Schizosaccharomyces pombe: one gene and its partners. The gene in region 4 interacts genetically with the main gene of each other region. Each region holds a gene or a part of one and is shown on either strand. Other genes may lie near its edges. The genes, in order: set3, pfd1, hos2 and fft3.

Region 1 (9,040 bases), 2.9 Mb from region 4:
TAATTAAAACAACTGTAGTCTGGATAAAGAAGGAATATAGTTAAAATGTAAAACCATGTGCCAGGTTGACTATTTAATTAGTTATGTGCATTTATTAGCTAGGCATGAACTTGATCCAAAAAAAAAAAATGAAAGTTGAGAATACGGATGAGATAGTATACTTTCGGAAGAAAATACTTTTATGGAATACTAGTACGAGACACTTGTCAAATTGTAAGCATGTTGACAAAATCAAGCTTTTGGTCTCTCCAATCGTATGTTTCTAGTCTGAGCAGGAATTCGTACACGGATGCCATCCAAATCTTTTCTTAAGAGTACTTGGCATCCCAATCTGCTTGTTTCCTCAAGACCAAATGCTAAATCAAGCATGTCTTCTTCATCTTCTTCCGGGGGATCCAAAAGTTCGTAATGCTCTGGATCTACGATAACATGGCAAGTCGAACATGCAACAGACCCTTCACAAGCGCCTTCTAAATCGATATTGTTAGCATGAGCGAGATCTAAAATACTATCACCTTCATTTCCCTCAATCATGATTTCACGTCCTTCAGGCGTGACGAAAAAAACTTTGATTCCAGTGCCCGGCAAAGGCTTTTTAATTTCGGAATGGAATGATGGGCGGAATGTATGGAATTGGCGTTGTTGAGTCAAAATGGAAGATGAAATGCTACTTTTGGGAGGAGAAGAGATTAATTTTGTCCATGAGCGGATGTTTTTTAAAGCGTATTCTGGATGCAAGCGCTGAGCAAGTGATAAGGCCGCGGTTAATGTAACAAGACTACCGGCTTGATGAAGGGCTGCCAAAGGTACAGGGACAACATAGATTAGAGTCATAATACCCAAAGTAGCTTGAGCAGTTACAACGCCTGTAACAACGTTAATGCTAGTTTTAATCTTCTTAGGCAAAATGTTTCTTTTAGCACGGGAAAAAATAAAAAGACCACATGCAGCAACAAAAGTAGTAATAGCTAAGATACGGTGTTCGAGTTGAACAAGACTTGGGTTGTCAATCATGTTTCTCCATATAAGATCGGACTTGTCGTCTTTCCTACAAAACCTTTGATCAAATAACTCGCTTTTAGATGGAGCAAGTCTTCCTTCGCCCATTTCCGGGAAAGTACAATAAATCATTCCGGCATCCAATCCAGCAACAAAGGCACCGGACAAAAGGGTGATCAGTACCAAGCCAACAAATGAGTTAACACTAGTACGAAATCCTTTCATTTTCTGAACTGAAGAAACCATTGAAGTCAATTGAGATGTGGAGCCACTCTTCATAGATTTCAAAAAGGCATGTCGTTGAAGGATTCCATGCCCAGTCCACACCAAGCCAATATAGAGAGCAACGGCAGCGGCTAAATGAGTAGCCAAGCGATAATGACTAACACGCGGATGAGAACCATCACTGAAGAGCTCTTCTGAAAGACCACTCTTGACCATCCACCAACCGATGACTCCTTGAAGTCCAACGAGTCCCGTAAGGCCGATTAGTCGCTTGCTTAGCCAAGGAGATGCCCTTTTAGTCACAATCATGTATATGGAAGGAAGAAGGATTGTCAAGCCGATTCCTCTACCGAGGACACGATGAAACCACTCCCAGAAAAATATGTTTTTAAACTCATCCACTGTCATATGGCTGTTCAGCTTCTCAAACTCTGGTGATTTTTTGTAAAGCTCAAATTCTTGGTTCCATTGTTCATCAGTAAGAGGAGGAATTACGCCAGTGATGGGCTTCCATTCAGTAATACTTAACCCGGATTCAGTTAGTCTAGTAATGCCACCTACAACAACAATTGCAAGAACAAGAGCAGAAGATCCAAGCAGCCAAAAGGCGACCTTTTTACTCGGAATTTTTTCGGTTTCCTGTAGGATGCCACCTGGTGTAGGAGCGACTGAGTTACTCAGCCGGCGAGCAAAAAACTTTTCAAATGAATTTTTATTAAACTTACAATCATTCAAAAATAAATTCTTAGTCCGTGACAAATTAATTTCATTTAAAACACTCGATCCAGAGAAGCTCCTGCTCATTCTCCAACTTGACCTTCCAAGGCAAGAAATGTCGCAGCCTTTCCGTAAGGGCTGAAGCAGGAACTGTCTCATCAGACCTGATGAACGTGAAATGTTCATTGGTAATTGTTTACTTTTGTTTGCGTTTCGCTTAAAAAAGTAGGTTCATGGAGAGAGAGGAATGGTACCTAACCTCCCGGTTCTATACCACAATAATCTAACGGCGCACTTTCAGAGTCGCTATAAGTAGACAAGCTATATTAACGTAGGCCGTTTGATATATACAAGATCTGAGTGGATCGTCGATGAATAGTTTAATTTGATGCGACAATTCGCTGAAATCTGCACGTAGCATATTTGAATCGATGTTTATATTTATGATACTTAATACTCAAAATGTACTAGCTTCATTTGCGTATCCAAAAAGTTATTTAATCTAGTACATGTCGCATACGGAAATAGCTGACATCTTAAATAGTTAGTTCTTATAATCTTACGAACCGAAACTTCTATATGACAAACATAAATCATTTAACTGCTATAAATTAATATTATTATATTGTACAATGTTCTAAACGTGCAAATTAGGAACAGAAAAATGCAACGACTGAGGGTTCGTTGCTCTGAATCAAAAGAAACTAAAAAAAAAAAAAGGAACTAGAGTTTTCGCCCAAACACTTAGTCATTAAATATTTACAAACGAAGAAGAAAAGAATGCAGAAGCAGGTGACAGTAAAATATGCTCCGAGTACCAATCATCATAATAAAAAAATGAAATGAAAATACATATGAAGGTAAAAAGATGCAGTCATCGTACCAACTTTAGAATCGTGAAAACTTGTTCGTATACCATATCCAATAAAAAAAATCATCCACACATTTATATGGTTTCAAGATTTACAACATCTTCTAGAATTTTTATCGCGTAAATGAAGGGTTAGAAACTGTAGCAGCAGGAACGGTGTGAGGCCTAGCTGTATCGCCATGTGCTTGATTATCCTTCGACTGTTGATGCAGAATGTTTTGTTGACGTCGTTGTCGATACTCAGAAAGAGATAGCTTCTTCGGTGCTGAGGTAGGAAGAGCAGAGGCTGAAGTGTTACTAGGCTTGACTACACTTCCTTGGACCAGATTCGAATTGGGCTTGTTTTCGCTTCTTGAAGTATTTAACGCATTCGAGATATCATCACCGTTGTTGGCTTTGTGGTCCAAAATGTTTGGATTGTTCGTAGGAAATTGGTTGTTTACCAAAGCATGGCGACTCGTTATAACTGGTGCTGGAGCTGTCGGCAAAGGAGGCGTAGTTACAGGAGATTTATCAAACGAAAACCCGACAGGACTAACCGAAGGTGAATGGGATCGAGTGCCATTCTGTCTAGAAAAGTTAACGTCAGAAGACCTTTGAGTGTCGTGAACATGCGATTTATCTTTTACAGTCCTTAACGTATTAAAAAACATGGACCCACTCTTTTCTTTACTCGACGGCTCGAGTTTCAATTTTGAATCTGAATTTCTATGGAAAGAAGGATGGACCTTATGTGGTCTGTCACCTTTAGTCTTAAAGGCTTCCGGCTTCCTTTCGATAGATAGCGATCTTTTATTATAATCAGGTTTGCCATGAAAATCATTTGCAATGCTACGGCGTCTTTTAACTGACGGCAAATGATCAACAGAACCATGCTTTTTGTGGACTGTCGTAATAGTTCCTAATCCTCTTTTGCAAGGAGAAGTTTTGTCCAGCATATCTGGGCTTGTTCGAGGATGTTGTAATGGTGAGGCTGATCGCCTACTTAGTGATTCTCCAACATTAAAAGATGGAGGAGTTGTAGGGGTTATCGAGGATTCTTCAGGTTCCTTTGCTTTTTTCAATGGACCATCGGATTGTAATGCAGCATCGGGTGAAATGGGCGATAAGACGTCTGCAATGCCCACCTTAGAATCAGTGTGTAAATCAGCAATATCAGTTTTCTTGTCCCTATTAGAGGAATCTTCCTCAACAGAGGGTAGTGGAGATTGTAAATCTTTAGTTGGTTTTTTCTCCTTCACAGATGGCTGTAACTTCGGCTCCATGACTACATCGATTCCTACACTTTCTGTGGGTAATGACTTAACAGCAGGCCATTTTTGCAAAATACTAAGACGGTACTTATCTAACCAAAACTCTTTCAAGGATTTGGCATAGACCGATGTGGGGTTTGAAGGTTGCGGTAATGATTCAGCAGGGCTAGGGGTAGAAGGGGTTGAGGAAGGTGTCAGAGACAAACGGTCTTTTGCTACACTGACACGGTTTGCAGTAGAAGCGCGGCGGGCCGCTTTAATATATTTAGTAACTCTGGAAAAAACACAGTTTTTCTTATCCTGTGAGGCACATTCGTTAAACGACAGGAAGGTAGAAAGCACTTCTGAAAGTAATTCCAACTCTTCCATATTGAAGGAGGGTCGCGACATACCAGGCGCAAACTGGCGAAATGGATGGGAAATATCGAGAGTCCAATCCCCAATAATCTCTGTTTCCGGAGCTATGTGAGTAGTTGAATAGAGGATAAATCGAGGAACACTGTTAGACCCATTCATGTAAACACTTGAAACGACGGAGTTTGACTGACAACCTTTACGCGCAAACCTCGCTTTTGAACCAGCAACCCGTGAGTCAACAACAAGCTGAGAATTTGAGTCAAAAAAGACATGTGGCTTAGGAGCCCCCAAAATATTGTACTGGTTTTTGGGATCACTTTTGTATTCATTCTGCGTACAAACCCTTCCTTTCACCTCCATAATGGGTGTATTTGGAGGAATTTCGCAAGTTGACACCAAACCAAAGCGACTACAACAAAACTTTGAAGATGATATAGGTACGACTTGGCATCCATCCATTAAAACTTCGGATTCATCTAAATTCTTTAAATCCAAATTCTTAGAATACTCAAGCGCAGATGCAGAAAAGGTGTTTGATTCCAAAGGGACGTATTCCAAGTGAAACGAATACACATATTCGTTAGAAGCCTCGGTGATTGGAGCCTCTGGTGGGTTGTTAAGGTGGTTGGATCTTCGTCTGCGATTCTGAGAATGTGGAGCATGAGCATTGGGCAATGTTGCACCAGTCACACTGTTACGATAAGACCCCGAGTTCGAAGAGTTGGTAGACTGTGAAAATAAAGCGCCATTAGCGCCTGTGTTATTGCCTTGTCTCGGTGACGCAGAGTGTGTAGGACTAGCACCATTTTTGCCAAAACTAGTTCTTCTCTTGTTGTTGGAAGAACGGGATCGCGATAATATCCTAGACTGCTCTTCTTCGCGCTGTAACCTAGCTAGTTGAATTTTATGCGCCTTGTCGGCATCGATAGGACGAGGTTGGCATTGTTCACAAAAATATTTTTCAGGAACATTATTTGCATCTATGTTTACACAAACGGCGTGTTGCCATACCTCGCAACTTTCGCATTGGATGGTGAATCCGTCATCATCCTCGAATGGACAAACGCATCGTATTTTCCACATGCTAACTTAACCAAAGAGAAAACGATCAACTTATAACAAAGTAAAGAAGTATTTCATAAACGCTAATTTCTGTACAGGAGCAATTTAACCTTGGAAATTACTGCTTTCTTATGAAAGCAAAGATTTTAGCCCCAACTATACCAATGGCTATCTCGATTATCTGAACTCTCCTAAAACTAGGAATCTAGTATATAAATACTCGAAAAACCATGTAAGTTGAACAAATACTCTGTTTTCAATTTGCATACGCGATTTTGGTAGTTGATACGACGTCGCGATTATTCCGCTCTTCAACATTTCCATCCACCGAGTGTAAACACACGTCCCATAAACCACGTTTCCGCAGTCTAACGTCTCCTCGGTAAAAACAAAGAGAAGAAGATGTTGAAGAATAGTTCATTTCTCTATGAAACTTCTCATTTTACATATTTTAGAAGGTAATAAAACTGTCAAGGAGTTTTTAATGAGTCTTGCTAAGAAACCATTTTGAAAAAAAAAAATCATCTACTAAGACAATGAGTTGAGATAAACGGCAGGTGCAATGTGTCAGTAGTTAGCTAATGTATGGTGTTAGTGAGTGTGCGCAAGCAATCGAAAACGTCAATAACGGACTCGCAACTCTAAAGAATTAACAACCTTTAGCATTGGACTGTAGGGTTTAAACAGCTTTACAAGGAGAGGGATCTGTTTTCATGAGTTCCACAGTGATATGAGACTTGAATAGGCTTGTCAACTATAGAGAAATGTATATGCAAGGAAACCAGCATAAATGACAAAGTCTTTACTGTTTTATGACTTACTAAATATACCTCATGGAGAATTGAATCCAAATAATGAAGCAATGTTCTATCGTTCTAGTAGAATTTTACATTTCGAAGAGGCATTTGTGATAAACGAAACTAATAATATAAACCAATTTATTCCTAAACAACCATTTTTCAAACTGTTAGACTGTTGTATCTTGTACAAGCTCCAAACTGAAGATAGGTTCGTTTACAAGTATGTATACACGAAAATCCATTATTAACCATATTAATCTGCACGTAGCATGCAAGTCCAAAGAAGTAACCAAACGAGAAGAGAAGCCGAAACCAAATGCCAACTTTAGATATGCAAGATAAATTTTAAAAAACACGTTTTCGAAGTGTCTAAAGAGTTCGAAAGTGTAAGAAAACCACTCCCCAAAAATGTCTTCTCTTCTACTATTTTGTAAATTTGAAAGGAATAAAACAATAAAATAAAATAAAATAAAAGAACGAAGCGGGACGCAACCAACGGAAGATCGAGAGTTACATTTTTGTAGGAAGAAGAGTGTTTAGTCCATTTGCATGGCTGAAGATGAGTTTCGAGATTTCTTGTTTTTGCGTTTTTTGGCGAGGACGGGAATCTTGACAGGTTCTGCAACTTCTTCTTCCATGGTATACTCCTCGTCGGAAACAATTTGGGGTTCTTGTACCTCAGCAGTTTCAACCTCACCTTCGGGTTCGGTAAATTGAGGAACATTTTGAGCAATGAGTTTTTGAGCTTCTTGAAGCTCTTGGGCACGTTTGCCAGCCAATCTCTTTTTGTAAAACAGACGCTCTCTCTTGGCATGAACTTGGCTAACCCGTTTCATGGCATTCAAAGTAGTTGCAATGACATTACGGTCGTAACGAACAGGAACATTTCTACGAGCTGCGGTAACTGCGAGAGCTGTGTCATAAACCATTTCCTTTCCATGTGCCTTACGGTACGCTTTGGTCCAAGCAACCTAGACATTGAAGTTAGTATACATACATATAGGTGGAAGCAAAACATTTAAAAAAACAATAGAAAACTTTCTTCGTTCATGGGCATATAAAGGAAAAAGTACACCATTTAAGGTAGAATTTGAAGAAGAAAAGTATCATTTCAAAACAAGGCAACAGAAAAAAATTTTTCCTCTTTCAAAATCAATCATCTTCCTCAACCAAGTCTGTATAACGTTTTTGCATTCCTTTATTATAAAAAAAACATACCTTACGAGGATTGCGCTTCATTTTGAAGTTCTTATGGCACTTGCTGCGACAGAAACGAAAGACCTTGGAGTCATTTCTAACAAACATTATTCCATGTCCTGGGTAAACAGGACCCGAGCAGAAATAGCAAGTATGTACCCTAAATTTCCGTTAGTAATAAATACTTTGAAGGCATTTAGCTCTACAAACCTCATATTCCCCCTAAATTCTTTCCCGTCCTTGTATGTTCAAGTTGGCTAAGAGCAGGTAAAAATTCGCGCTCCCTACAACGCACATATTTGAGATGCGAGCTTCTACTTAAGCTGCGTTTTGCGAATTCCAAATATGCCTTATCTAATTTATGATATATCGTTAGGTTGCGTTATTTAATGAAATACCATCTCGGTGAAGTTTCGAGTGAATGGTCTCGGACGCAATCTTAGGAACCTATTAATAATAAATTTTATCTTCAATTTTTGTTAACTCATATCGCTTCTTTATCAAAGGCGTGTCTACGCCAAAAAAAATAAATACATAATATTACCGAGGTTAATTGCTTTTAAAAACACAATCCCTCTATGCATATGCAGTTTACTGGATTGCAATAGGATACATAGACGCACGATCTTAAAAGGTATTTTACAGTATTCACGATATTTGAGCTTTTGAAAAAACGATCCCGCCAGGAGTCGAACCTGGAATCTCTTGATCCGTAGTCAAGCGCCTTAACCATTGGGCCACGAGACCTTGTTATCATTACAAATAAAATATACTATTTATTATACAAGTGTGTTTTACTTAGTCAAATTGAATAAGTCTAGTATTACAAAACAAGAAGAGTCTTTAGTTTTCAAGTGATTTTTGAGAAAATGTAATTGTTTTTTTTTTTTTCCTTTTTTTATTAAATTTTATCTATTTTTCGTACTTACCGATATTTTTTACTTCGTTTTAAATTTTTTAGTTTAGTTATTTACCTTTTCTCCATCAAGACCATACATGATAACAATATTATGTGTACCATAAGTTAAAGAATATTTATTATAATTACTTTTTTTAATAAAATGAATGTACAGGTTATTTTTTTACATATTTAGTTTTTATAAACATTATATCGAATATTTGTGGCAAAGACCCACAAGACAAATGAATGAAGAGAATCACAAGTAAAATAAAAATCGATAAACTGGTTTCCAAAACCATAGTTAAAAAATTTTTATGTCATTATCGTTATATCTAAAACAAATTATCGTATACGACAGTATCCAAATACATCTTCATCTGAAGATCTATTACAAAACGACCCTCAAGGAGGGCATCAATAATACTGCTATTGTACTTTGTCTTTTCTTTTTTTTAAATTCCTTTGCGTTTAAAAGAATATGTCTTTAACTAGATTCTAACATACACCATTATACATTCGTAAAACTGAACTTCAACCTAACTGAATAAACGTCTATCCAGCAAAAGAGAAAAATAAAAAAAAAATAAGGAGAGGAACAAAATCGAAGACATTACAATTGGAGATAGAATAGCCTTAAGCAAGATGACAATTACTTAGT
Region 2 (6,964 bases), on a different chromosome or scaffold from region 4:
ATTGGCATTTTCTATCAATCTCTCTTCTTCGTTTACATTGCCTTCCTCCTCGTAAACATTTTCCTTTTTTGGCTCTCATCTGTCCAACAAAGGATCCTGCTTATTCCTCTTTTTTACTTCAATTCTTTTTATTATTATTTACAAAGTTATTTTTTTCCCAAGTTGTTTTCGTAATCTTTGGAACTTTCGTTTGGGCTCCTTTGAAGCATTCAACTATATAACTTTGAATTTTATTTTTTCCAATCCTCTCTCATCGTTGAAATTTCTTCTCGTTATTAACTAGAATTCCTCTAATCTTCTTTTTTTTCTCTTCCAGCGATTTTTTTTTATTATCTTCACTATTACTATTATTATTATTATTATTATTCATTTTTTTCTTTAAACGGTCGTTTCTTTCTCTTTCTTGGGTGAAATAAGCTATTTTTTATTAAATACTACCCTTACTCGTGCTATTTTTTTCTTCTCTTTTTTTACTTCTCCTTCTTTGCCGTGCTCTGTTTATTACTTCGTCATGTCCGAAGCCACCACTGCCACAACAACCGGTAAGCCATCCCGCTCTACCAAGAATCCTGACGCTCCTCGTCCTTACAAATGCCCACTATGCACCAAGGCCTTCTATCGTTTAGAGCATCAAACCCGTCATATTCGAACGCATACGGGTGAAAAGCCTCATGTTTGTACTTTTCCTGGGTGTGCCAAACGATTCTCTCGTAGCGATGAATTGACGAGACATGCACGCATCCATACAAATGCAAACTCTAGAAGGAACGCTGCTGCTGCCGCTGCCGCTAATAATTCTGCTAGAAGCTCCAATTCTCCTGCTGGCAATTTAGAACCATCTACAAACAATGCTGGTGTGCATATGACCAATGCTTCAATGAATCCTAATGTGAATCCTTCCTACCCCGTGTTCATTCCTCAAGTTGGCATGTCGGTTGCACCTCCCGTCGCCACTGCCGCCGTTTCCATGAGTTATCCTCACCATTACTCGGCTTCAGTGCAACAACAACAAGCTACTTTCGTTAGTAATGGACAGCCTCACAACCTACCCGCTCAAGCTCAACCTGCCACTATCTACGGTATTCCCGATGCCCTTCATACCACTCAAAATGGTACTACAATCCATGTTACGGGTACCCCTCCGGGTGCTGTTTCTCAACGCTCGGAACCCGATTCCAGATTGTCGTCCATGAACGAGATGCAATTGTTGGCTTCAGCGGCTGCTAATCAATTGGATGCTGCCCCTAGAATCACTCCTACAAAGTCTTCGGGTGTTAATTTAATGCCTTTATCTAATGCTCCTTCCCCACCGAAGCAGATGAATGTAGTAGGTAGTCTGCCATCATCATCCAATACTTCTCCTAATCATCTCGCATCGGTTCCCAATAGAGGCTTAACTTCTAACTCATCCACTGGTTCATTTACAAAGTATACTAATGGCTCGAGCAACTCTTTATATAGTAATTCGTCTATGCAGACTCCCTATCTGCCTAGCAAATCTAACAGTAGTACTAGCCTTCATTCAATGTATGGCGTTGGTACTACGGCTTACGCTCCTCAGTCTTTACGTTATGCCCATTACAACTATTTGCCTTATTCTCGACCCAGCGTATCCAATGGCTTTGATGATGATTCTTCGTCAAGTGATTTTGCCCATTTCCGATACCAGCGTCGCTCTCGCCCGGTTTCCCCCTGCAGCACTGCACCGAGTAGTCCTACCTTTTCCACTAGGAGCTTTAGTCCCACCCCAGACGTCACACCTCTCGTTACACCGGCACATTCTCCTCGTTTGAGACCCATGGATGATCCATCTTGCGTTCAATTACCTTCTATCCGCTCGCTTTCTCTACGACCTTCTCAAGTTCCGTTAATTCCTCCTTTGAAGTGTGATCCTAACGCCTTTTCCGCGTCTACACCAGCCTCTGGTGCTGTCTCTCGTACTCCATCGTCCGTCTCTCTGAGCTCGCTCTCCAACGTTAATAGCAGCATGCCTCACAAACCTGCATCCCAGTCGAATGTTGGTCCAGTCCGTATATCATCGAATCGACGATCACGCAAGTTCTCCTCTTCTTCGCGTGTGAGTGTCAGCAACCTTTTGGCCGGATCACCGCCATCTCCTTCTTCATCCACAAAGTCGGCGTCGTCTTCCTATTCCACCACCACACCGGCATTTTCAATAGGGCCGTTAACTCCTATGACCAAGCCCTAACCCAATATTTGCGCTGTGAACGCTAGTTACCTTTGCTTCCTTTAAACCATCTAAACACCTTGGTTGTGTGTTATGCTATTTTATAAATTAAGTATTAAATTTTTTATTAGTATCATGAGTCTCGACATTTGAGGTTCCATTGTTCAGTTTTTCTTTTTTTTTTTGTTTTAAATTTTTTTTAAACTTCTTGGCATATAATTAGTAATGTTATTTTGTGTTTATTAGACTGCTTTCATAGGTGAAAATTTATGTTATATGTTTAAATTACTTCTTGATCAGTGTATGGGTACAATAGACCATAAACTAATAAAGTTATTTTTTTTTACCGATGGTGTTTAATCCTTTTTGCTTTTATTTAGCTAAATTTATTGTATATAAAGTTGTCTGCAGATCTTATCAAAAAGTTGAACTGCAGGATCTACATTAATGACTTTAACTAGAACTACAGCAAATTACCATCATAATTTAACGGCAACTTCACAATTCGTATATAGAATTATTATTTTAATTCAGAAACAAACATCTGATATGAGAGACCTTCAAGTCCTAATATTGTCGCCATAGTTAATATTAATACATTACTACATACTTTGTTAAACAATGATTAGTGACAGTTCGTTTCGGATAATTTTATTCATAAACTATAAGTAAGCTATAAACTATTCCTTGTGCATCTCTCAAAAAGAAATCAGAAGTTAATGGAGAACAAAACAGCTTCCACACAGTTAATGATATCCTTGAAAAAATATAGAACACCTTAAAGTATGGGTCAGTAAAACAGCCAACACAAAAGTCAGACAAACAGACGTTGAAAAAGAAAGAAACAAAAGGGAACGAGAAATCTCAGACTGACGTGCAAATCAGATGGAAAAAGTTTCAGCATACGATGCTCAGTTGAACTATGCTTTTTTGGAATCATCAAAGAAATCCTTTCTCCATTTACTTTTCCAAACGTCAATTCTAACAGTAGAAAACTTACCTTAAAAGTATAACATATACTAAATTCACAAGTCTTCAAGCTTGAAATTTAAGTATCCATACACAAAAGCGCAGTCACAGTGATCAAAATTTCGGCTCACAAATGCCCCAGTATTTGTTAGAAATGCAAGAAGATTAATGGAACAAATTTACTTTAATTCTACAGTTTTAAAGATAAAAAAGAAAGTCATAAACTTTCCAATCCCATAATCCAATTTACCAATGAGATGATTATAATTGATGTTTTAAGAAATCGACTCTTTTATCTTTTGTAAATGCTGCTCAGCATTTGAGGCCGTTGTTTCGTGATATGTTTGTTTCTTTTGTAGTGCTTCAATATCTTCTCTTAAACTTGCCATTTCTGCGTCCAAATGTGTACGTACGGAAGCCAAATCGGATTTCATAAACCTGTAAATAAACAGTTAGTAAATGACTTTACATATAGATTGACAGTACGGTCAATTCCATTCCAAAAGTGCTGTTTTTGCTAATTCCGTATTCTTTCCCTATTTTTATAGAAAAGAAAATAAAAATACATGTTTCATTTTATGACACTTACATCTTTCCAAGAGAAGTATATACGGCCTTATCTTCTCCAACATCCTCTAACTCTTTTTTGGCTAATTCACTTATTTTTAGTGCCCGTTCCTTGGCAGCAATCTGTACCATTATGGTCCTCAGTTGTTGCTGTGAATCAACCGCTTTCTCTTGTATTTGACTAGCTAACTAATATGCCCAAAGCTCATTAGTTTACCATGTAACACAGTTAAAAAGAGGGAAATTCCTAACAAAATAATTCTCTTCTCAATGATGAAATACGTACATTTTGCATTATTTAAAGGAAACTTGGGTATATCTCAAGAACTTATTTTTTTTGGATTGAATTGCTCTTTCCAAAATTATGGTACAAAGAATAGTCCTTTTAATACTTTTTTTATAGACAAATCAAGAACTTTTTCAATATATTTGAATATACCACCTTTACAAGTATATCAAGTCTTAGGCAAAATGTTGGTTAGGCCTTAAGTACAAAGCTGGCATGTTACAAGCTACTTTACACTGCTTTTATTATCGGTACGTTTCGCAAATGTGAATTACATAATACGCCACAATTTGTAATAAATATTTTGTGAAATGTTTTGCCATATCCTTAAGTTCTTCCTTACATAAATTGTTGGCGATGGCGTTCACAAACGAATCTTCATTTCATTCCTTCTCTGTTTCAAATTTTTGTGGAAAAAGCATATCCATATTCTTACTAAATCGGATTTCTGGACTTTTCTATTGCTTTGGAAATCCATTATCCTTGTAGTTCACTCATTTGCGCCTCAAATCCTTTATAATTGGAATTGGCTGTTTACATTGATAATTTAGCATTTTTGCATCATACTCAACCCTTTTTTTCTTCTTTTATATTTGAGTTGTTGAATTTTTTTTCAAGTGACTGTAGTTTTTTCAACATTTTCCGTTTATTTATATTAATCCGCCTTTAAAATAATTAAGGCACATTCAAAGACCAATATAGGAAGCAATAACGACATCATGACTGAAAAACACACCCTTCGCCTCGCTGATCCTTCTGCTATTGATTCAATTATTTCTGTTGATGAGTTTCTACAAATCAAGGAACAATACGATGCAGAACAACCTCTGATTACTTTACAAACCAAATTTAACCTTGCTTGGGCATTGGTACGCTCAGATTCTACACAGCATGTACAACAGGGATTATCTTTGTTCTGCAGCATTTACAAAGATTCACCGGAAAGGCGTTTGGAATGCCTCTACTACATTGCTTTGTCCCATTACAAATTGAAGCAGTATGAAGAATCCCGTCGTTATCTCAATATGTTGTTATCCAAAGATCCAAATAGCCCAGAGGCTTTAAAGCTAAAAAACCGTCTTTACGATGCTGTTACAAAAGGTATGTTTATTTTAATAAAACTTAATGAGGTATCACATATGCATGAATGTTGTGTTTATGTTAGAAAGATGCGTTATAAATAATGAAAAGAATCATTACTAACCCGTTTTTAGAAGGATACATTGGAATGGTTGTGGTAGCTGGTGCAGTGGTGTCAGTTGCAGCTCTTGTAGGTTGGGCATCAAAACGGTTGTTTTCAAAGCGTCGTCCTTAAACCGTAAACGATATTAATCACAAGGGAGCTTTCTTTTGCATAAATTCTTCAATTTTTTCTCCTTACGAACAATAGGATTGTGGATGTATCCTTTTCATGAAACGCGTATGAGTTACGAAGGCTTTGGGAGACATTATAGTGTGCACTTTTTTTAGAAAAAGAAGATTATAAATCGAAGCTTGTTGTTTTTATTATATTATCTTTTCTTCTTACCCAGTTGATAGTTCTGAATTCGCTTGTGTTTCTTCTTAACAGCAGGGTAATAAATTTACCTCAAGGAGGTTTTAGATTGTTATAAAAAGAGAGTGAGTATTTATTATAAAAGCTGAATAAGTTCCTCCTTTTATACTAATTCAAAAGTTTTGTATCGATTAAACCAAAAAATATAATGATGGACATTAATGAATGATTTTACAATCCAATTCCCTCTTCCTGTTTGAACAGTTTATTAAGCCCAATAAAGAAAGAAAGAAAGAGTGTACCTTCGTCGATTTTCCAAGAAAACATCCAAAGACTCAAGTATTTGAGATGATGAGCTTTATAAACGAGATTTTGTTAAGACAGACTACGAAGCCTTTCCTCTAGCTTAGCCACTTGAGACTTCCGACCTTCCAAGTGACGTCCCAAAACATTAAGTTGTTGTTCCAGCATTTTTAAGTCATTATCAATGGCGGAAGCGCTGGGGCCATTTGGTCCATCATTTTTTAGAGATTGAAGGATACCCAACTTATAGTCAAGTACTTTCTGTAAATCACGTTGAATAAGCTTTGACTTATTTTGTGCAATGTTAACATCGTCAGTTTCACGTTGAAGGGAAAGAATCTTTTCGTCCAATTTGGACAGCTCATTTCTTAATGAAATCAGCTCCCAGTCAGAGTCTCTCACATCCCTCGGGGCATCAAGATCACTCTTCGGCTTCGCACCACCCGTAGATGGAGCCATTGTAGGTGAAGAGTAATAGTTATTAGTAGAGTTGTAGGAATCTAAATTATAATCGATATTTCCTCTCTTAAAACTAGCCTTTAAACTGTACGGGACATCATTAGGAATACGGAATCCGTTGGATCTCTGAGTAAGGATGTGCAAAAATACTAAACACTGATCTTTCTGTATGGTTTCAGTACCCTGAGGATTGACAAGTTTCCAAGCCTTCTGAATTTGAGAGTTGGGAACCCCAAAAGGAGTAAATACAGGTGCCAGGCCATTAAAAGATACTTCTCCGTGTTTATTGCAATGTAGGGAGTAAATATCGGAATATCGAATTTTATCGGATGGAGAAATGTACCAATCAAATCCATCTTTTAAAACGGCATCTTCCGGGTCGGTATCAAGCGAAGGTACTTTGTGTAAGAGAGCAATATCATCATTTCCACGAAGAGCATCTCGAGCTGCTACTAAATGCTTTTTGGAAGTAGACACCAACGCCTCGGGTACTCTATCTGGAACGGTTTTGTAAACCTAATGGTTAGAAATGATGAAAATAGACAAAAAAAGAAACCCTAAAAACCAAAGGTAGCCTTTCACAATAAAAACAATCAAACAAGTGGAAGGGATAAAAGAAAAAATGAAGGCTTTACGCAAGCGCCGTCTTCTTAAATCATTCATATCTTATTCCATCTTTTTACATTTATTTAATCCA
Region 3 (7,349 bases), 1.1 Mb from region 4:
GGTCCTCAAGAAGCTCAATCGGCGATTTTGTCATTAGCTGCTAAAAACATGATTGAATTTTCAAGACATGAAATTGAAATTTACAATTTGACTGCAGAGGGTGAAAACATTTGCGCAAATGGTTCTCATGAAGCCAAAGTTTATAATGAAATTTGCGCTTCTATGAGCGGTTTAAATATTGGGGAACTCAAGGTAAAGTCATTGGAATCGTAGTTGTGAACGACGAAGCATTTAAATATAATTAAGTCTAAACGCCCGGTAAATATTGTTAGTTTTTTTTTTCTAGCATTATGTTGCATTTTCGATTTTTCGCGTTTTGATGCAACACCTTTTCATATCGCTACGTCTGCCTTTTAGTTTTTTTGTACTTTTTCTAACTGATTTAGAAAAAATTGGGGAATTCGGCTGGTATTGGTCAAGGAAGAGCCTTTAAACTCGGTTGGATTAAGAAAGATGGAGACAAGCTTGTTAAAAATGTAAGGCAAAGTTATAGTAGTGCAAATTGATTTAACGTTATGCAATATTTTATTTACTAACTGACCAGACTGATTCCATTACAGATGAGACCCCTAAGGTCCTTAGTGAAATTAAGGAACATGGAACTATCTCTGACAGTAAGACGTTAACTGATTTGAAGAAGAGAAAGCTTGTTGAACGTAACAAAATTATGTACTTCTCTTTGAGGAAAGGTCCAAATTTCTCGCTTCAAATTGAAAAACTGAACACCGATTTAACTGCTGAGATGATCACCTCTCGATCATGGGAAAGTGCCAAGTTTAAATCTTACAACTTTGCAGCTGAAGGTATACCTCCAGCTGGTGGATGTCTTCATCCTTTGATGAAAGTACGTGAAGAATTCCGTAAATTTTTCTTCGAATTGGGTTTTGAAGAAATGCCAACCAACAATTTTGTTGAAAGTGGATTTTGGAACTTTGATGCTTTATTTGTCCCCCAACAACATTCAGCAAGGGATGCTCAAGATACTTTCTTTTTGAAAGTTCCTGCTTCTACTGATAAATTGCCAGATCCCGAATATGTTGCTCGAGTAAAGGCCACTCACGAAAACGGTGGTGAGACTAAGGGCATTGGATACCGTGCTCCCTTTTCCTTGGAGGAAACTCGTAAACTAGTTCTTCGTACTCATACTACTGCTGTCTCGGCGAATATGTTGTACAAACTTGCCCAAAATGGCTTTCACCCTGCTAAATACTTCTCAATTGATCGGGTCTTCCGCAATGAAACCGTTGACGCAACTCATCTTGCCGAATTTCATCAAGTCGAAGGCGTAATCTGCGATAGAAATATTACCCTCGGTGATTTGATCGGTTTCCTTGAGGTGTTCTTTGGAAAAATGAACGTTAAAAATTTGCGCTTCAAACCTGCTTATAATCCTTATACTGAACCTTCATTGGAAGTCTTTTCCTACCACGAAAAGCTTGGTAAGTGGGTTGAAGTCGGAAACAGCGGCATGTTCCGTCCGGAGATGTTAGAGCCTATGGGATTACCTAAAGATGTTCGTTGTTTAGGTTTTGGTCTTTCTTTAGAGCGCCCCACTATGATCAAATATGGTGTGGCCGACATTAGACAATTGATTGGTCCTAAGGTTAACTTGGACCTAATTGAGGCTAGCCCTGCAGTTCGTTTAGACAAAGAGGAATAAATTTAGTGTTTTTTTTTGCATAATCGTTTATAAAAATAATACATAATCACTATGGTAAACGTATTTTCGTATAGGGTCAATTATTAATATTTACAATGTCTATAAACATTAACTAAAATTATTTGATGTTTGTACGGATATCAAATAAAAAGTCGAAAATTCATTAATATCAGCCTCGAACGCGAACATCCACAGCTTTGTCTAAGTATTCATCATTCAACCGTTCGTCTTCTTCTTCCAAATGCCCAGTTAAGTCTGGTGGAATTTGCTGCATCTGAACGCTTGGCGCTCCTCCTAAGTAACGTAATTGCTCCAAGGCCCGTATTCGAAGATCTTCAAGAGCTTTCGGTGTATTTTTATTTTCTATCTTCGTGGTTAATCGCGGATGGAGGGTGTAATCTGGTGCGAAAAATTCGTAATACAAAGTTTCACGAGGTAATTCTGAAGGTATTTGTTCGTTTACACATATGGAAGTTTCATAACACCACGCTCTAGCAACATTTCTAAGAGTATAACCACCACCTCCAACTACAAGCATGGGTATATTGAATGAACGGGTAAATCTAACACATTCCCCATGTGCATGGATGCTCAGATTGAACACGCCGAGCCGATCATAACCAAGCGAATCAGCACCACACTGAAGGACAATTGCAGAAGGTTGAAAAGTATTGATAGTTGGTTCAATTATGGATTTGAAAAGACTAGTGTACTGTTCATCACCAATACCATCTTCCAAAGGAACGTTTAAAGCAAAATATTTCCCTCCTTTCACGCCATTTTCATCAAAATTACCAGTTGCAGGAAAAAAATCACCATTATACTTGTGAAAAGAAACCGTCAACACGCGGTCAGATTCATAGAATGCTTGCTGCACACCATCTCCATGATGAATATCGATATCGATATACAAAACGCGAGGAAAAAACCGTAGCATGTTCAAAATTGCTAGAACAATATCATTAACATAGCAGAATCCACTAGCCTCACCACGCTTTGCATGATGGAGACCACCGCTCCAATTGATAGCAATGTCTGTTTGACCTTGCACTAACTTCCGAGAAGCATCCAAACTAGCGCCTGCCGACCTTTGAGAAAATTCATAAGTGCCGTCAAAGACCGGACAGTCATCACCAATATTGAATTGTTGGAACTTATCAGCAAATTGTTCAGCATTATCAGGAGTAACGCGCTTAAGGAAATCCAAATAATCCTCCCTATGAAATTCTGACATTTCACCAAAAGTTGCCATCCGGGGGCTGAATACACTCATTTTGTTATGCAACCCATAACCCATCACTAAATGATTTGTAATGGTAATTCGATGGGGCTTCATTGGATGTTTGTCACCATAGTGGTAGTTTCCCACCTGTTCATCTAAGTGATATGTGACACGCTTTTTTTGAGGTCGAAAGCTAAAAAAAGACCCCTTTTCAACTTGTTCATAAGGTGTGGATGTCTCAGGAGTATCCATGATATACAGACTATTATACTAAAAAAAACCGCGAGACAAATTAAATGAAAATATCTTTTCTAAAGAAAGAACAAGAAAAGAATAAATAAAATTAAGAAACAAATTAATAACTGTTTCAGAAGAAACAAGAGAAATGAAAGTTATTGACCAATGCCAAATTAATATAAATCGAAAAACAACCCAGATTTTTTTATAGAAAAGAATTCAATCCAAATAATAAACAGCAACACGAACTGTAAATACTTTATTTTTACGTCGAGCGCAGAATACGTAGCAAAAGGTCGCTAAACCCGATACCTTATTAGATAAAATGTACAACTTCAACAAAGCGTTAATTCAAACTCTTTGAAGCCCATAAACACAAGAACAAATAGGATTTACAATTTTTTGAAGAATTGCTAGTGCTGGTTCATTCTTATAACTTAAAAATGTATATCTCAGTGAACACAGAAGGAAGCTACCAACTTAGGTGTAGTTTAGTATGTTATGCTTCCATATATGAACTAACACATTAATAACGTATCGTTATTACTTAAACAGATGGTAACCTTTAGCATGTGAATTCATAGACAATTTGGCAACTTAGATATCATACATACGTTGAAAAGATTTATCTTCAAAGTGATTTGGTTTGCGTGAATTCTTATGTTTTTATTTCGCCCTCTTTGCCTTCCAGTACTGTGTTTACATTATATGGAGTGGCGGAACTCAACACCAAATGTGGGCTACTATAAACAACCGGAAAAATTTTCAGCAGCTTAAGAGAGTGTAAAAATAATCTTTAAACGACACAAAAACGAGCCATAGGTTCATATATATTATTTCAATTAGTGTCTTTGTCCTTCTCGTTTGTACATTTATTGTCACATTCCTCTACTTTAAAAGATAAAGTCATAGTATCTTTTATTCATTAGTTATTGAAGTATCGAAAATATTAGTGGAATATCAACTTTCCCTATCTCTTTAAAAGACTCAAATCTCCCTTTCTTTTGGAATTTGAAATCATAATAATAATTTTTGCATAAAGCGGAAATTAGAACGTATCTATAATTTTCAATTTGAGAATAATGGCAGATGATACAGCTTACATACTAAGTGAGTATTTGCAAACGTTGGATAATGTTCCCAACGAAACAAAACACATCTTTGACGAAATTAGTGTGAAGGAAGTTGCTGTACATGACATCTGGAAGAGAATTCAAGCAGCTGATTCTCAGATTCAGTCATACATTAAATCACATGGTTCCTTGACCCCACATCCAAAAGAAGATGCTTTGTATTCGACGATTCGCGAGGAGTATCAAAAGGCAATTAATATACAGAACGAGAAAGTCCAGTTGGCGGATCGTGCCAGATTGGGACTTACACGGCACATAAAGCGATTGGATGATAGACTTGCAAAGGCCGGTCATGGATTTACAGCTGCGGAATTGTTAAATGCTCCTGACTACTATGCTTCTTCACCGTATGGTGGATACAGTCCAAGTGGTGCCTCAAGTGCTCGTCAAACACCGGCCCCTTCTCGGTCGGGAGCCTCAACAGCTGGTCGCCGTCGTACTTCAGCAACTACCAGGGGTGCAATTCAAAATGGAGTCTATCACTCTCCTTATACGGCTTCGTTGGCAGATTCTGGTTCAACTCGCGGTCAGAAGGTTTCGAATGCCACTGCAACCACCCAGTTAGAAACTAAGGCAGATTCCACAACGCCGAATGAAATGGTCTCAGAAGAAGATATGGAAGAGGATAATGAAAAGTATTGTTTTTGCCAGCAAGGATCATATGGGCAAATGGTCGCTTGTGACAATGCTAATTGTGAGCGTGAATGGTTCCATATGGAGTGTGTTGGTCTTAAAGCTCCTCCTGAAGGTACATGGTATTGCGAAGCTTGTAGGGATCAGAAGCTTGTTGATGCTAAGTAATTTTTCCCCAATCTAAAGTCTGTTGGTCTTCCCATTATTGAATGCAAGCATTGTTGTTTTTTTTTGGGCTTTAATATCCGCTAATTTTTCACCTGTTCCGAACTTACTATATTTGATTATACGTTGTTCAAGCTGTGTATATGTGATTTGCAAAATGGTTAATTTATTAATCATATCTTCACGATTACGAATCCTTTTTATCTTATTCTTGTCCTTGTTTGTTTTTCACTCACATAATAAGTACCAGATTACTTGTACATTAAGAAATTCAGTTCTTTAATTTCCCCAATCCTCCCCAAAGCAGATATTACACGCCGTAGCTAACCACAGTAATAAGTCTTTTGTAACTTTATTATTTGTAATTGCATTTGTTGTCCATTATTTCTACTATATTGGAACTGAACTTATTATTGTACATACAAAGGAACAAGATGCAGCGTCTAGCGTTTTCATATTATCTCGTAACATATAAAAGAACTCTTACGCATTCGGAAAAAAGAAGAGGAAATTTTTTAACCATAGATATCACTAGATAAATTTGATAAAGTGTATAGTACAAAATAAAAAGAACCCCAGATTATAATGGAACACTAAAGTGCCAAAAATTCACAATGAAAAAGCGTATATTAGCTAGTGTCTAATCCATTTACTCAGAACCGCTTTGGTCATCCTCTTCATCACCAGAGATTTCAGCATTTTCCTTTTCAAATTTTTTCATCAAATCGGCAAGCTCCAATTCGTCAGTTTCACTAACCGCCTTGGGTTTCATTTTAACAGTACAGGTACCATTGGATGCTGTAATGGATTTTTCGATTGCACCAATTGCCTCTTCTAGCTTTTTGAGACCCAATGACTTATCTAATGCGTTTGTCAAAAGGACGTAAAGTGGAGGAGCAACAAGTTTAACTTTGATAGGAACCTCCTCGGTATGAACATCTTCAGCAGCCTTCAAAGCGGCCTTGATAGCGTTAATACCTTCGTAGCCAAAGCAAGTGACTTCAACGTCAGCACGAATTTTAATGGGCTGAGGCGTCAGACGACGAGAGATTTGAGCCAACAAATCATTAATAACACCCGATTTGGGAGGTTCTAAACCCTCAAAGACATGATCTGGGTTACTAATAGCAAGCTTAAAGGCGTCATAAGCATGTCCATATTTGCGGTATAATGGCCATCCAATTGTGGTATACATGGTCTCCAAAGGAACATTATGCTTCTCAGCAATATGGCGCATAATGGAATGAACAGCCTTAGATTTGTTGAAGCGTTCTTCGCACTTTACAACATCCTCAGGGCTAACACGGCGCTTTGAAAGATCGATGTATCCTTAATCCTGGTTAGTACATTCCTAACAACTTATAAACCTTTTTTCCCCTTTTGTTTTTCTTTTTTTTAAAAAAAAAAAAAAAAAAAACTACTAATAAATTCTTACCTTTTTCCTTGTCGACACGTAAGACCACGACGACTTCATTACGACCAACGCGAATATGCTTTTGTACTGAACGAATACGACGTCTGGAAAGCTCAGAGAGCAAAACCATTCCTTCAATATTATCGTATTCCAACAATTTTACATAAGCGCCCATCTCCTGGATTTGACGAACTATTGGAAATATTAGCCATTACCGTTTCTTTAGACAGACAACATGTGCATTTTTTACATACCGTTGACAACAACGAGTTCATCCACTTCCGGGAAGCGATTCTCGTACATTCTGCAGCTTGTCGTCGACATTTTTGCAAAGTGTTGAGTGTTTGGTTCTGAGTAAAAATTTGTGTGGACTACCCACTTCTAAACTCTAGGGGCCAATTTTGCTTCTTTTCAGAACCCAGACATTGGTCATTTTAACTTAACTGTTTATCAATAATTATTCTTTATATTTAAAAAGTTTCCTTAAAGAAGATTTATTAGTATCTAAAAGCACATAACGATCGGTGATAACTGGCTTACCAGCCGAACGCTGAATAAACTAGCAGTAAAGTATTTAATAAACTAAAGTGTTTAATAAACTACTAGTTTACTACATCGTTTAGAATTACAGATAATATACTTAAACTTTCTTTTCCCTCAAACGAAAATTACAATTGGAAAGTTTACGAATAGAAGACTCTGTCTAATTGATTCCACTTGTTCCTTTGACTAGAGTAAAGAATTATTTTATTGAAAAGTTGTTAATCCATTGCCTTACAAACCATCCATCACCGTTTTTTGGATTACAAAAAAAAGTGAGAACTCGTATTAATGAAATTCAAAAGGTTATCAATGCCAAACTCAAGAATAGTTGAGGAAATGTGT
Region 4 (9,191 bases):
TGCAATTTCTAGTTCATCATCGGATACATTACGAGAACCGTCGGCTCCAGCATAGGAACCAGCGCCCCAGCTGGAGCCGCCATGAATGGACTCAACGTTAGCCATGAGTGAAAATGTATTCTTATAGCCAAGAGGTACAAAAATCATTCCATGATGAACAAAGCTGGTCATGGCAGTAAGAGCAGTGCTTTCTTGACCACCGCCCAAGGTACCGGTGGAAAAGAACTGACCAAAGTACTTTCCATGCAAAGCACCTTGCACCCATAAACCACCAGTGGAGTCCCAAAAAGTACGGAACTGAGCAGGAGGAGTGCCGTAGCGTGTAGGATAACCGAAGAGGAAGGCATCATACTGCGTTAAGACATCGAGTGTAACAACAGGGTAATTGGGTTTGGGTGCAGCATGCATCTTCTCCAAGATTTCAGGACTCAATGTCTCGGGGAACTGATAAATGACAGCTTTTCCACCAGCTTTCTCAATGCCAGCCTTTTCGGCCTCAGCCAGTTTGACGACATGGCCATAAGTGGAATAAATCACAATAGCGACGGTGTTTGCGGTAGACATACTGGGTTTAATAAAACGCTGGAGTAATAAAATAACGAAATCGAAGCACGACAGTGAAGAATGAAGCTGTGATTGAATTTCTTTGGAACGTTTAAAAATATAGGGAATTTTACGTCCTTATATAGATTTTTTGAAAGCCTCCGATGTGTTTTTTTTTATTTCCTGTTTTTTTGGGACCAGCGGTTGATTACCAAGATTACGTAAACTACCTTTGGTTCATCCTAGGATTGTGAAAATTGAACCATTTCTGACTAATCCTATTCAAACAATGATTCTATTATTATTTTATTTCTTTCTCTCTCATTCATGCTCACTTTAGATCAAACAAACCGATTTTGTGCTTGAAATACTTTCATTCCACAGGTGTTGGCATTTGTTATTACCTGTCCCATTTTCTGTAAACTGAGGTTACATACTTTGGCTCGCTTGATGAGTTTTTGGTGTTGACCTTTTGTATCGCTATTTTCATCTTTGCTTTATCGATGTAGCTGCGCCACTGTTGGCCTAAGTGGGGGACTTTGGGTTTCTCTATAGCTTTCCTACTAACTTAGTACTGGGAAAATAACATGGTTACGGTCACCTCTAATTTAACACAACCCAATGGAAAACATCGGTAAATCGATAAAACGTACGCTATTTTAAGTGCAAAATGCATTGATGGTCAGCCAGTCCATCATCATCCTTGGAAAGTTTTTGTGTATGCAAGGAATTGGTCAGCACTGAAAACAAAAGAAAACGGTTATAGAATGAAGTGTTAAACCTCTTCCCTTTCTCATCATAGTATCAATTTTAAATCAATCAATTTCATATATTCATATGTAAAACATCATACAGGATAATATTCTTGAGAAATTTGTAGGTGCTAAAAGACAATAGCAAATAAATCGCATAATCAAAACAGAGCGATTTCTCAAGAATGATTAAAAAAGAAATAATAATTAAAAGTAAAAAACCAAATAAAAAGATGAACGAGTTGTAATAAACTAAGCAAATAAATTAACTAATTAAATAAATAATTAATTAATTAAATAAGCAATAAAAAAAAACCCCAGGAAAATAAAACACAATGATATTATACAATGCGTTTAGGATCACGTCTTAATACAATAAAATTCGATTCTTAAAAAAAAAAAAAAAAATTTCAATGGATTATTAATGTTTATTGCAAAATCTTTAATAGGAAGATTATAGCAATTCAATCGATGTTCAATACAAAACTGAATACGGCTTGCGTTTGAAGATTGTATAAATTTCCGATATTTAATTATTTATGCAGTTTAAAGCTCGCATTCTCTTTCGAGTTGACACTGGCAATTTCATTATTTAACCTTTTCAACCCTAACTGAATATGATATTCTTTCCAATTTAAAGCTATTTTATTTATAACCAATTTTCAAAAAATAAATAAATAAATAACTAAAGTCAATTCACTAGCCCGCTTAGTGCACCTCTCAAGTTGAACAAAGAATAAGAAAAATAGTACTTGCCATTTAGTAATAATAAGTTGGCATAGACGAGACAACGTAGTAATTGTTGAAGGAATAAGGAACTTTTAGGTTTTTAGATGACGGTTCTACAGGAACGAAAAACTTTCTACCATGTTCATTAGACCATCGCCTTAAGAAATGGGGAAGTGAACAAATGAAGGACCGATTATGAGTAGCAAGCTGAAGTATATCTGAAACTAGATATAAAGGTGTGGGAAACACATATTTGACGGTCTCATTTTGAAACACGTGCCCAATGTTAGAAGACATTTTTTTTGTAGAAAAATCATTTTCCATACTTAAAACAGACGGTGCATTGATTCCAGGCAAGGATTTGTCAACGTGACACACGTCCATCAAAAGCAGACTGTGGTGCGGAAACTGTTTTGACAATCGTTCAAAAAATCTAATGGCTTTCGTAGGATAGTATGTGAGTTTTTGCGTGCTAAAAAAGGACCAAAATACTTGTTTAACACCGGAAAAGTACCGTTTAGCCCTGCTGTCGCTAAACCCTTGCTGAACATTAATCCTAGCTTGTTGAAATGCTAAATGGTAATTCAAAGAGCTAACTTTTTGGTGAGTATTTAGAGTGAAGAATTCGTTTAAAAAGTGCTCTGGACCAAGCCAGCACCGTTCCATCATCATGGCGCCGTTACTCTGACGAAATAAATCATGACCGAAGGAGCTAATTACCTGTAATGCCAATACAAAGCAAGGATTTGTATCAGTATGGTTCCACGTTAATGGATCACTAACATATATATCAATATGATCTCCATGCTTTGCATATCTCACAGATGTCAACATGCTCTTAAACCAGCTTGCTTGCCAAGAATTATGCAAGACTATATTGTATGTAGTACGTCCATAAACTTCAAGGTGATTTTTATAAAGATAATCAAGAATATCCAATGCTATTATTCCAGTCCCAGAATGAAAATCATATATTTTCAAATCAAACACCGGGAAATATCGAAGTTTATACTGCAACACCAAGTAGTTACTAATGGACTCAGAGAATAGAGACCTTTGCTTTTCATAGATGTTTAATGCCTTTTGAGGAATAGGTATTCCATGCAAAAAAGGATCAAATTCTTTGGAACATTTATGCCCTTCTTTCCTTAATACATGTACAGAATGGCTCAAATTATTGGTTGAGCCTGTCCAAAGTCGAGAATAGTAACCCTTGCTGGGATCAAACGTAGATTCATGAATATAATCGGCTAACGAAACCTTAGAATCGCGGTGCAACAAAAATCCATTATCAGTAGTATACCATCTTCTTGGGCCATGCAAAACTAGACCGGTATTTGTAAATGCAAGAGCACTAATTACTCTGCTTCCAAATAATAATGAAGCTTGATAAACTTGAGAGCGACTTAGCTTCCACATATAAAGATTCAGCATTTAACACTCTTTGTAGTATTAAAATTGAACAAAATTCATTATTTATTCGATTACTATTATTCGAAGTTGAGAAATAAAATGTAATAATATGATTTCATAAACTTACTAGGTGAAGTGCTTTCCTCTGTCAACTTTTGTTTTGCAAGTTTTAGAACGACTTTGGATAATAAGAATCGCTTATTTGCTGTATTATCTTCAAAAAAGACTGACCATTTTCACGACGCGTTTTTGGCGTGGTATATAAATGGTGTCAAGAAGCTAAAAGCTTTCATATTAGGTTGAAGAAGTACTGAATTTGTATCATTCAATAAATAGAATTTACTTTTACAAATCAAATCTTTTAATCTGATTTAGTGAAACGGGATCGACTTATAACGTGCAAAACACAAATACAGATAATACAATTGAAAATAAAGAGAAAGGTTTACTCGAATAAAGTAGAAACCTAATCAATTTGACTATTTTAAAACTAATGCATAAAAAACCCTGTATAAACTAATCATCGTCATCTTCAGCCTCCACAGTTTCGGCATTGCCGGAAAGAGTCGCATCCAAAGCAATTTTAGCGTTGGCTAAACGTTGAATGTGCTCTTCGATGGTATCCTTGACAACAAATTTATAAACTGTAACTTCTTTCTTTTGGCCAACTCTATGTGCTCTATCTTCCGCCTGAAGGTCATCGAATGGATTGAAAGAGACATCATAAAGAATAACCATATTAGCACACGCAAGATTGATACCAAAACCGCCGGCTTTGGTAGAAAGAAGAAATACATTAATGCTTTCATCAGCATAAAATTGATCGATGAGATCCTGGCGGAAATCGACTTGTGTAGAACCATCAAATCTTAAAAACTTTAGATTTAATGATTTCATGACAAGTTGAAGAATGTCCAAAACCTGTGTAAACTGACTAAATAATACAACTCTGTCGCCATTTTCAACAGCATTAGTGAGCAGTTTTTTAAGTTTTCTGACCTTTGTGGCGTCCATCCAAGGTTCATCTTTAAGTTGGAATGAATTGATAGACGGAAATTTGCAACACAAATTATGTAGCTCAATATCTGACATGTACTGCATGTCTTCAAATATATAAAGTTCGTTTGCCTTTTTGTATTGGGGTTCATTCATAATAGCTTTCGCCATTTGTCGAAGGATATCATCTTTATAATGAATTCGAAACAACATAGGGTGATCCGCAAGCTTACGAAGCTGTACAAGCACAAAACCAGCTGTGCTTTTCTTCTTTGCAAGATTTGCATTCGTATCTAAATTAGTTTTCATGACATTTTCATCCAATAAAGAATTTACACTTTGTTTGCTAGCGAAGTCATCATAACGGCGACGTTCCTCTTCGGAAAATTCGCAAAATTCTATAATACGCGTTTTCTTCGGCAAAGCATCTAACACCTGGCTCTTTTTACGGCGAAGGACAAATGGGGCCATCATCATTTTGGCTCTCGATACTCGCTGTTCTGAAAGCAATGCTCGTTCAAAGTCGCTTTCTGGGGATTTTTTCATAGTAAAAATGACATCTAAACTTTTCAAACCATAATCAAATACATGAGGAAGAATGAACGCTAAAAGCGAAATTAATTCTTTAAGATTATTCTGTAGCGGTGTACCAGTTAGCAAAACTCGAAAGTCGGCAGGAATACTCATCAAATGACGATATCTCTCAGACGCACGGTTTTTCAAGTAATGACCTTCGTCATATACACAAACATTGAACTTTTGGTTGCGCAAAAACAAACGATCAGCCTTACTAGTAGCGGCTAAACGGTAGGTGGTTAACATAACGTTATAAGAATCTTTATTAGAGTTGATACGTTCACGAATTTCTTCACGTTCGACTTGCGATCCATAATAAAGTTCAATTTTTAGCTTGGGACAGAACTTGGCAAATTCACGTAACCAATTCTCCATCGTTGAAGCAGGTGCAATTACCAAATGTGGCCCGTTAATATTTTTATCCATGAGTAATGAGAAAAAAGCGATGGTTTGACAAGTTTTACCGAGCCCCATTTCATCAGCCAGGATACCAGCCAGTTTGAGCTCGTACAAAAGGTAAAGCCAATTAATCCCAATGATCTGATAATCCTGTAGTTTGATATCGGGCGAAAAAGATGCAGGAGGTGTAGTGATAAACGAGGAATTTGCAGGCGTACCGAAACTTTTCATTTGATCAAAGTTGACAAGAGAAGTTTCACCTTCATCAGATGTAGCAGTGTTTGACAAGCCCCACGCTTCAATGCCGCGCTGAATTTTACCACCTAGCTGCTCACACTGACGAATAAGCGCATCCACTACGAAATAACCACGCATAATTTCCATACATATACCAACTAAACGTGGTCCAAGAGGAGTTTTTTCACGTCTACCTCGTCTACCTTTGGGAATCACCGGACGAGGTTGCTTAACGACCAAAGCAGATTCAAGATCTGGAAAAGGTCTTTTGGCAACCATAAATTCAGCTTCAGCAAGCGTACAACCTGTCATGTCAGCCAAATCCTGTGTTGAACAACGATTCATATATTTAAGAACTTCCTCCTTTAGAGCAGCAGTATCTATACGAGATGCCCAGCGATCTGCATTTGAATCATCATCAGAGTACATATCATCATTGCTGTCATCGTCAGCTTCAGGCTCATAAGTCTTTCGAGATGACAATGGCAAGGTAAATTGAAGTCCGTTAGTAAGATTATTAGCAGCATATCGTTCTCTCATTGTAAGACGATGTGGGGCTGGCTTTTGATTTGTAACCTGTGAACTCAGTGATTGAGACGATAATGAAAGAGGTAAAGAATCGCTTGCTTCTTCGTCATCCATGTAAGAGGGCATTTTGGGCTCTGTCTCAGAGAATTGAGATAAAGCATTGTAAACAGCGCCGTATGGATTTTGGGCATCCATAAATTGCGAAGGAGTGCCAGCAGAAGGTGTAGGAACAAGATTTTCTAACGAACCGGAATAATTATATGGTTGATTTATGGAGTTAGCAGAGGAAGTAAATGAGGGAGAAATATCACTCAACTGCTTGAAATGTTCTAAACTTGAAATGGGTGCAGTAGCCTGAACTCGTTTAGACATCTCTGAAAGAATCTGAAGTCGCGAATTCATACCACCCCCCATAACATTAGCTTTTTCGGTAGCTTCTGAAAGCGAATCAGCAATGAAAGGGGGGAAAATTGGCTTGCGCTTCACGTTGGAAGTCGCGTCGTAATGCGTGCCATCAGCGGTATGCTCTATTTTTCTTTTTCCATCCATAATTAAGTAACAATCAATGTATCCAAGCAAATGGCAAAAGAAAATTGAATCTAAAATATAGGATTTGGAGAAAAAATATGTAAGGTCACGTGTATATTATGAATAATTTTATCACACGAATTAAGAGCGCCGAGAATAGATGCAAAAAGATTGAAACTTTTTAAATTCTCCTAAGATTAATTAAAATGGAAGAAATAACGACAAAACAATACAGATTTCTTGTTTCACGCGTTTCTTGGTAACTCAAATAGTTGAAAACTTAATATGGGAACAGCAGATTACAAAAAATTTTGAGGGCCAAAACTTATTGCAATTTCTAAAACAAGAAACAATTCCTTTAGTTACGAGATGTGTATGAGTTAATTAGGATAGACCACCTTCTTCTAATACATAAGCGTTGTTTCGAGATGATATGCAGAATTTAATGAAGAAAAATAAAATGTAAATGAAAAGTAGACAAAAAAATTTTAAAATATAAATTTAAAATTTTCCTGATGTTTAAGATGAAGCAAACTTGGTAAGCTCTAGCAATAAACAAATACTCGCAATTAAAGATCACCAAAAACGACTTATACTTTGGCTATCCAAAAACAATCTTTGTTTAAAAAAAGAAAAAGAAAATTACCAAAATTAAAATAATAACACTCAATGAATCGGATTGTTAAAGAAAAAGACTCCAGTCACCCAATACCTTCTTTTGTATTATGGAATTATTCGGTATAATTCAAGAGCACACTATGCTGGTAGTTTGTTCTTGATGTGGCACGGGGGCGTGATATGGTGGTAGTGGTCCCAAATACTGATGCTAAATAATGCCTTAAACGTTGTAACGTAGTTTATGGTAAAGCTATATCATGATGGCAACTTGCTCTTTATATTACTAAACATTTAGCAAAAGATACCGTGGCGAAATTGTCTTTATTCTTTTATAGTTTTAATAAAATCATTAAACATAACTGCAGATACTAGAGATCTTTTGTCACTGAACCTTAAGAAATATGACAACAAATAGTGTTTCGTTATATTATGGCAGCGTACCACGTTATGTTTTCTAGGTGATACTGCAAAAGCTAATGTTAAAAGAGGATGGTTTGGGTTCTAGGATTATATTATTTAGTTAATATTTTATTAACCTATTTATTTAGATAAAATAGTTTTGTAAAACACCTTGCTCATCACTCAAAGTTATTTAGCAAAAATTTGAGTGTCGAGTAACAGGCTACTTTAAGGAAATATTTTTAAACGCTTTATAAAGTAACTATTTGCATACGATTGTAGTAATCAATACGAACATCAACTGCTAAGTAGCTACTTCGGGGATTTGAAGAAATAGAAGTCCATCTACTCATTGCATTGAATTCGTATAATATAATTTTTTCTTAATATTTGTCGTTTTTTCTGTCAAAAATATCGCATTGGTTGTTCAATTCTGCAAGAACAGCCAGGAATGCAGTTTCACTTTTAAATTAATATTTTTGAATTTGTCCGTTAGGAGGCCCTTCGTTTCTAAGAATAATTGTTTAAAAACCTGCGCTGTTTATTTTTTTTCCCTTTTTCTTCTTTGTTTTTGCTTCATTATTTTAACAACACCTATATTGTATACAAGTTGACAGTTAACGTAGTAGGAAATTAATATCCTGCTGGGTTTTTAAGTTTTCTTATTGCTGTGCTATAATTGAAATTTGCGTACCACTTGAAGGCATTGTTGGATCTAAACTGAAGGTGTGTTTGTATGCTGCATGTCAATAAATGCCAATTATGCGAAACAAGACGTCCTTCTATTTGCGAAAGCTGTTTAAAAAAGCAGCTTTATGATTTTTATCATAAACGTGATGAATTCTCTCGAGATATTGAGTCAGAGCTTGAAAAGGTTGCTAAATTGAAATCAGAAAGTTTCTCTCTAAAAGGAAAGATTACCCAAAAAGAGGAATTAACTTATCGACTACAGAACCTTGCTGCCTCTCTAAACGAAAAGAAATCGTTATCGTGTGACTTGCATTCCCGCAAACAGCTTATAGAAGATGACTTGTCTAATCGCAAAAAATCAATTAATATCGCGAGTCAAAAGTTAGCTGGCTTATCACATTCAACGAGTGACTATTTCTCTAAGGAATACCTTACAGCTTATCGCCGTTCTGAGCTACTTCAAAATAAATTGCATGAGTATCAAAAGAAGCTGATAACAAGGGTTTTGGATATGTATCAACTTCACTGGCAAAGGGATTTAGTGCTTAACACTCAGGGTTGCACTCAAAAATCTGCTCAAATGGGATCAGAGTTTAACCCTGACTCCATAGATTCATCTCTTGCGTATAGACTTTCAAAATTATCAATGGGCAATTCGAAATCCGACTTATCTCATAGTGACAATGAAACAGGACATTTTTATAGCAACTTTTTTTCTCAGGTGATGGAGTTAAATGCCTCTGTGACTATTTCTGGCATTCCTGTATGTATCAGAAGTAAAGA

Evidence for each region.
Region 1: mutations in fft3 (region 4) and set3 together harm fitness more than expected from each alone (negative genetic interaction), as found in Schizosaccharomyces pombe (2 studies listed by BioGRID).
Region 2: mutations in fft3 (region 4) and pfd1 together harm fitness more than expected from each alone (negative genetic interaction), as found in Schizosaccharomyces pombe (2 studies listed by BioGRID).
Region 3: mutations in fft3 (region 4) and hos2 together harm fitness more than expected from each alone (negative genetic interaction), as found in Schizosaccharomyces pombe (2 studies listed by BioGRID).

The regions. Positions count from the first base shown.
Region 1 is NC_003424.3:5,036,977-5,046,016, forward strand, and holds set3 (putative histone H3 lysine methyltransferase Set3), read right to left. Parts: upstream 5,769-9,040; 5' UTR 5,506-5,768; coding exon 2,926-5,505; 3' UTR 2,570-2,925; downstream 1-2,569. Other genes in the region: etp1 (monooxygenase-ferredoxin fusion protein), read right to left, coding at 232-470, 516-2,127; ribosome biogenesis protein rlp24, read right to left, coding at 6,821-7,255, 7,503-7,641, 7,692-7,696. UniProt on the Schizosaccharomyces pombe protein: Transcriptional regulator that acts via the formation of large multiprotein complexes that modify and/or remodel the chromatin. Required for both gene activation and repression.
Region 2 is NC_003423.3:1,753,078-1,760,041, forward strand, and holds pfd1 (prefoldin subunit 1), read right to left. Parts: upstream 4,182-6,964; 5' UTR 4,020-4,181; coding exon 4,011-4,019; exon of another isoform or gene 3,914-4,010; coding exon 3,747-3,913; exon of another isoform or gene 3,596-3,746; coding exon 3,433-3,595; 3' UTR 3,189-3,432; intron 3,146-3,188; exon of another isoform or gene 3,045-3,145; intron 2,966-3,044; 3' UTR 2,824-2,965; downstream 1-2,823. Other genes in the region: DNA-binding transcription repressor, glucose sensing, Scr1, read left to right, coding at 512-2,209; protein Fis1, read left to right, coding at 4,730-5,111, 5,225-5,325; actin cortical patch component End3, read right to left, coding at 5,881-6,783.
Region 3 is NC_003424.3:3,165,895-3,173,243, reverse strand, and holds hos2 (class 1 histone deacetylase Hos2), read right to left. Parts: upstream 3,574-7,349; 5' UTR 3,135-3,573; coding exon 1,830-3,134; 3' UTR 1,732-1,829; downstream 1-1,731. Other genes in the region: phenylalanine--tRNA (Phe) ligase alpha subunit Frs2, read left to right, coding at 1-192, 387-476, 545-1,660; png1 (chromatin modification-related protein), read left to right, coding at 4,202-5,053; tif211 (translation initiation factor eIF2 alpha subunit), read right to left, coding at 5,700-6,379, 6,486-6,656, 6,719-6,788.
Region 4 is NC_003424.3:2,094,328-2,103,518, forward strand, and holds fft3 (protein Fft3), read right to left. Parts: upstream 7,479-9,191; 5' UTR 6,723-7,478; coding exon 3,954-6,722; 3' UTR 3,868-3,953; downstream 1-3,867. Other genes in the region: obr1 (NAD(P)H dehydrogenase (quinone)), read right to left, coding at 1-564; SPOM_SPAC25A8.03C (uncharacterized protein), read right to left, coding at 2,055-3,458; protein Atg14, read left to right, coding at 8,455-9,191. UniProt on the Schizosaccharomyces pombe protein: DNA helicase that possesses intrinsic ATP-dependent nucleosome-remodeling activity and is required for heterochromatin organization.